Macaca mulatta: one gene and its partner. The protein of the gene in region 2 interacts with the protein of the main gene of each other region in a pairwise test. Links are inferred from orthologs where the notes say so. Each region holds a gene or a part of one and is shown on either strand. Other genes may lie near its edges.

Evidence for each region.
Region 1: the proteins of TPR (region 2) and NUP153 interact in a two-hybrid assay, tested with the Homo sapiens proteins (3 studies listed by BioGRID, with this or other methods). The link is inferred for Macaca mulatta from reciprocal best matches to the Homo sapiens genes TPR and NUP153.

Annotation. Positions count from the first base shown.
Region 1 is NC_133409.1:165,447,696-165,450,679, reverse strand, and holds the end of NUP153 (nuclear pore complex protein Nup153), read right to left. Parts: intron 2,420-2,984; coding exon 2,251-2,419; intron 1,915-2,250; coding exon 1,833-1,914; 3' UTR 777-1,832; downstream 1-776. UniProt on the Homo sapiens protein: Component of the nuclear pore complex (NPC), a complex required for the trafficking across the nuclear envelope. Functions as a scaffolding element in the nuclear phase of the NPC essential for normal nucleocytoplasmic transport of proteins and mRNAs.
Region 2 is NC_133406.1:43,764,898-43,768,730, forward strand, and holds part of TPR (nucleoprotein TPR), read right to left. Parts: intron 3,221-3,833; coding exon 3,010-3,220; intron 2,133-3,009; coding exon 1,989-2,132; intron 1,677-1,988; coding exon 1,478-1,676; intron 514-1,477; coding exon 308-513; intron 98-307; coding exon 36-97; intron 1-35.

The DNA of each region.
Region 1 (2,984 bases), on a different chromosome or scaffold from region 2:
GCAAATTAAAACTGAGCACAAAATAACTGTACATTCAAACTGAAAAATAAAATTACCAAACATTGTTCCAAGAGCTCTTTTAGGGACCACAGGAGTCCAGTTTAACCAAAAAAAAAAAAAAAAACAAAAACGAATGCAGTAAAATAATACAAAAGAAAGTGCAGCTGACCCTTGAACGCATGTTTGAACTGTGAACCCACTTATCACGGGCTTTTCTTTTCTTTTTTTTTTTTTAACCCAACCGAGCACAGATCAAAAGCACAGTATTCATGGGATATAAAACCTGCACATTCAGAGGCTTGGCTCAGGTTCTACAGGGGCCACTGCTGGACTTGAGTATGCGTGAATTTGTGGATTTTGGTATGGGGGCGGGGGATTTGGAGGAGTGTGGTTCTGGGAACAATTTCTTCTGCACACACCAAGAAACAACTAGTTTTTGTGTATGTATCTCCAAGAATTTTAATAAACACTATCCAGTAACTTACCAAGGAAGATAGAAGCACAAAGAGAAATGAATGTGCATGTTTATTTTCAACTTTTAAAAAAGGTATGTAAGTCGATGTGCAAATTAGGCATGATTCATAGCACCAGGCAAGAACTAGGGTACCTTCTATATGTTGTGCATTTAGATACTTTCAGATACTTTCCCTTTCTCTTAGGAGTTGTCTAAATCACGTCAATGTATTCTTCTAATGAGACAGTTAACCTTTATTTTAAAAAGTCCCCTCCCAATAATACTATGTGTCTTCATTATGAGGTAAAACTAGAACAAAAAGTATGTCATAATTTTTTATTGATGGCATTTATCCCATGGTTTAACATGTTAATTATACTGTAATAAACATGGCTTTAATATTAAACTTTTCCTTATTATCCAAAGTCACCACAGTCCATTTTAGTAAATATAAAAATATATGCTTAATACTTTGTACAATACTGGTTTTTGGTCCAAACAAAACTGGATCAGAAAAGCCAATAAATTCAACTTTAAGAATCCCCAATTTTTTTTTAAAGATTTCCAAATGGATTTAGGCAACTTTGAATAATGGGATTTACATAATAAAATCTGAGACAAGACTAAACAAACAACAAAAAAATCTCTAACACAAAATTCAAATTTCAAGTTCACAGATTTATGTTATGCCAAAAAAGTACAGAAACAAAATTGTATTTACACAAGTTTCATAATAAAATAATGAAAAAGGCAAGACAGGTGATAGAAGAATGAAAATATAGAAATAGCATATAATTATTAAATGGAGGATGAACTAGATCTAACAAGTCCTCAGCACGGACCATTCTTTAATCAGGCTTCCTCTATCAGAAAAGTTTAGTGCACAATACACCCAACTCACTCACTTCACACATACACCAGCACAAACTCAGCATAGAAATCATCCGTTTCAACATTCTCTAATCTATACAGAATTCTAATCTATACAGAATTCCTCAGATATAATTACAATTTCAATGCGTTCCGTAAACGCTTATCAGCGCACATAATGGTGTAGACAAAAGAGGTTCTATACAAAGCCATTCGCCGTGCAGGCTCCATTCCTGGGTACAGCCAGACTATGTCAAATCAGTGAATAATCTGCTGGATCATAAAATATTTTTGCTGAAGAATCAGTCACCAGTCTAGCTATTATATTTTTTAAAAAGGGTGGGTGAGGCGGGTTGGGGCTTCTGTAACGAAAAAGGAGGAAAATTCCAAAATTAAAGAAGTCCTTAGGCAGATCTGACTTCAGATAACCCCAGCACAAAGTACAATCCAGTATCTGAAAGCAGGGCACCAGCTGTTGTTAAAATTGCGTATAACACCAATGTGACCTTTATTTCCTGCGTCTAACAGCAGTCTTTATCTTCCGACCAGAGACTGAAGTTCCAGAAGAGAACACATTTTTCCCATTTGACCTGTGAAAAATAAAAACTTCATAATGTGACATGATGCTCTGAGCAAAATTTCCAAATGCTAACATTTACCATGAGCAGCAGAAGGGTAGGGTGGCGGGGGAGCAGACTCACATTGTTATGTACATTTTCTGCTATACCTAACACACACGCTACTGTTATTTTTTTCTCAAACTGTAATACAACTCTCCAGAATTGTAGTACGGTAAATTTATGTTGGAGAACATATTTAATTTTACCCAAACCATACTGAATCTTGATGACTTTTAAAAACAAAACATATACATGCACATACCCTTACCAATGTGAATTCTCCATTTCAATAAAAAATTCTCTTACCCCACTGTAAATGCTGCTGGCGACTGGTTAAATGGAAAGCCCCCGGAGCCTGAAGGCTGGGCTGAGGCTGCAGGTGTGCTAGAATTTGCACCAAATGTGAACACTCCTGATGGATTGTTGTTTGTGAAGTTGAAATTTGTAGTGCTGCTGCCAAACTGGAAAACCGAACCTACAATAGTTAAAGCAGAAATACTTCATTAGGGCAAAATGATAGGGTTTTTTGGGGGGATGGAGTCTCGCTCTGTTGCCCAGGCTGGACTGCAGAGGCACAATCTTGGCTCACTGCAACCTTCGCCTCCCGGGTTCAAGCAATTCCCCTGCCTCAGCCTCCCCAGTAGCTGGGACTACAGGTGAATGCCACCATGCCTGGCTTATTTTTTGTATTTTAGTAGAGATGGGGTTTCACCATAGTCTCAATCTCCTGACCTGGTGATCTGCCCACCTCAGCCTCCCAAAGTGCTGGGATTACAGGCGTGAGCCACCGTGCCCGGCCGCAAAATGACAGGTTTTTAAATTAATGACTCTGACCTCTACATATAAAAACATGCAAAGAGTTAAAATATTTTGGTCTTTTAATCTAAATAAAACTATTTTCTCCACTGACACATAGTACTCACTTGACACCTCCAACAAATCACACAACTTACCTATGACCAAGGGGAAAAGGGCAGTCTGGACTTCTGGTTAAAGATTGTGAAATCAACAAATACATTTAGCTCTATCTTCTTTGAAAA
Region 2 (3,833 bases):
GAAAAATAACAGACTATGAAATAACTAAAACTCACATTCCTCTTTCACCAGAAGCTGGAGTTGTTTTCAACGTGATCTGTCTCTGCTGTTCAGGGACCTATAAAGAGAAAGCTCTTGATTGTTGTTCCTAGCCCACAAGAGTCCACTAAAAATGCTACAAAAAATATTTCACTATTGTTAATTCTCTCTGCATACATTGAATTTTAGCCAAAATTCACTCTGACAAAGGCTCCTATGTCACCAGGCACTTTCAAGTAAAATGTACAAAGAAAAACAATTTGTTACTTAAGCAGAATTAGCTAATCACCTTATTAGAAGGTTCTTGAGGCTCATCTCTCTGCTCAAGGTGTCTCTCTTGATGCTCCCTGAGTTCTCTTTCCAAGCGACTAATTCGACCTTCATATTGGGACTTTAGAGCAGTAATACGAACATCCAATTCATCTTTCTGCTGATCTAAGGCTCCATTCCTTTGTTTAAGCTCCTCATTTTCTTTAGTTAGCTGATCTTTTACACCTAAAGAAGTAACCAGGTGATTATATTAATATTACAATCAAACATTTAAAACAACATTTATGCACTTAATTGACACGTGGTCACATCAGATTCTACTACTATAACATCTACATTAGTTATGATATACTATACATCTCAATGAGCAAAGTTCTAAGTACATTCATGTTTTCACTTATTACTAGAATATAAAATATACTTACTCCAACATAAAAATTTAGTTTTTCCTAACTAAAATCTCAACAAACTAAAGATCTGAGTTAGCAGAAGCCCTTTTATATTTCAATGTATCATTCAATTCATTATTATGAATTGCAAAATTTTTATTTCATATAATCTACAGCACTGTTTAAAAATAATTCAAGAACTTTTAAAATCAAGTAAGTTGTTAGGACATTGTCTTAAAGATCATTTAAAAAAAAATGCCTGTAACAAAACCCAACTGATTTGACATTTTATTTAACTACTCAGCAGACTGACAGGCAAGGCTGAATAAACCCCTGATCCTTGAAGAACTAGGTTCTTCATAAATTTGACATGATACTCTCCCCAAAGAGCTAGAGGGGCCCACTACCATATGAGGCACAAAAAAATCCCTGGACTGGTAAAGATCTTTATGCAGTCTACATAAGGTGTGTAGGCAGCATGGTCTGGGCTCAAAGGATCTCTGTCACAAGATAAAATTGTTATTCATGAAAGCAGAAGGATAGCAGTACTCCATTATCTATTGCCAGCCAACAATTGAGAAAAATTTCATCATATCAAGGACGTCCTCATCACTTGAAAATTAGGATTGCTCTTTGTGTCCAACTAATTATTCCTAATATTTAAAGCGCGCACACACACACACACAGACACAAACACACCCTTCATAGTAGATACCTTTTATTTCTATTCCATTTAATTTTAAGCCTGCAACACACAACCAACTTTCATTACCAAGTTCAAACTTTAAACAGGTATTTACCAGCTAAGTGTGCAATTTTTGATTTTGCTGCTACAATAGCTTTTCTGGTTTTTTCTTCCTTTTCAGTTATCTGTTGTCGGAGCTGTTCCTCCTGTGTGGTTCTATCTTGAAGATCCTGACGAAGTCGTGAAAGTTCAGACTGAAGTTGCACAGTCTGTTCCTGGAGATTTCTTGCTTCTGTCTCTTTTTCAGATAATGTCTTTAAAGGAAAACAAAGTATTCACCATGGAATTCAATCATTTCAATATAAACTGTATGTGGTAGCAACTTAAAGTATAACTTATTAATTTGCTCTTTAAAAGATTAAATAGAAGCATAAAAATGGTGGTCAGACCAACTAAATGCACACCTGAAGATGACTGGGTACTACTTACTTACAGGAGCCATTCCAAGTAAAACGAATAAAATGTATCCATTCCCACATGGTAAGAGAAACTGTCAGTAGTTAGTACATATTTCTTCAGGTGTATAACAGGAAAGAATTAGGAACAGACTGTTCTCACACTCATACCTTCTGCAGATTCTCTACTTGACTCTCGAGTGATTTTGATTTTGTTTCTGCTTGGTTGAGCGTTTCTTTGAGTTCCTGCATTTCCTGGACTAAAACATGCTGTTCCTGATGGTCTCCAGAGGACTGAGCCGATGTCTCCATAACCTAAGACAACAAACAGTAATAATACACTTAAATATTTACGTTCAGTAATTCAATTTCTGCAAGTTTGTCTAAGAAAATAATCACAGCTTTGCAAAGAAACTTTATCCTTGAAGGTATTCGAAACAGAATTTTCTATGAAACAACTGTAATCTCCAAAAACGGGGAACTAGTTGTGGTTTTCCACATAACTGAATACTAAACAGCTAATCAAAATGATGCATTATAGTTGAATTTTCAACACTGAACTGCATTTTCATAATAATGAATCAAGTGAAAAAAGCAGACTACAAAATAATATAAGCATATAATATTATTTCTTTGAAAAAACACATCGCTTATATGTATGAAAAGGGATACTAATGTACTAATAGTGGCTAAAACAAAGGGGTAGTAATTGCGAATTTTTTCTTTATTTTCTAATCCAACATGTAATAAATACGTAATTCTCAATATACAAATTCCTTACCTTCAGGAATTAAAAACAACATTTAGATTCAAAATATAAACATAATAAAGATTTCTGAATTTTTTTGATAGGTGGTTAACATAAATAATTTATTTAAAACTATACAAAACCTGATTAGTCATCATTTTTTAATATCCAATTGTAATTACCAATGAGTTATAAGAACATAGCTTTGAAAATGGAGAGTACTTGAAAGGTGAAAACTGAACCAAAATATATCTAGTATTTACCAAAATTTGTGAGTTTATAATGCATTTTCAGCATATTAAAGAACTATTCTTAAATAAAGATATCATATATGGTTACACGAGTTTAGTATCTGAAAGCTAGTAATATTCAAAATTACAAAGAAATAAGATTTCATAACATTCACCCTAATTCTTTTTTGTAAGAAAAGCTTCTTCAAAATACCTTATCCTGTTGTGCTTTAAGTTCTTCATATTGAGTCTTGTACCTACGTCCAATTTTCTTTACTTGAGTAATAGTTTTGACTTTTTCTTGGATATCAATTATTTTGGCATCTAAGTCCTTCTGGATGGTTTCCTTTTCAGTTCTTACTTTATTTAGATCTTCCTTCAGACTCTGAATTAAGTTCTGGTTGTTAGTCAAAGATGCATTTGATCTTTAAAAAATGGAGGAAAAAATAAAGATTTTTCTTTCAAATTTTGAAGTTCAACGTAACTTTACGTTATACTGCTTTAATAAAATTTTTTTTTTTTTGAAAATCCTAAAAAATACCCACATACTTCAAAGGTAAGAACTTACAAATTTACAGCCCTTAGGCAAGATCTTATTACATAGGTTTACATGTGCATTTTAGAGATGAGAAAAACAGAGTTACCAGTGGTCAAGTAACATGCGCAATTTCACAAACTAAAATCAAGTGATGGTACTCAGATTTTAATTCAGACTTGCTTGAGAGTAAAACCCACCCTCTTTCTACTGCATTGAGTATTGTCAAATTTCTTCTGTAAAGGGCTGGATATTAGAATATGCTATACTTTGCAAGCCACAAAGTCTTTGCTGCATTTTTCTTCAACAATGCTTTAAAAATATAAAAATCAGTCTTGGCTTATAGGCTGTACAAAACCAAATCATGGGTCACATTAGGTCTGTGGGCTATAGTTTGCCAATGCCTGTACTATATCCTGGACTGAACTTGAAATCAGATGGCCTGAATTAAGAGTACGGGTTAATTTTGAACTGAACTTGAAATCAGATGGCCTGAATTAGGT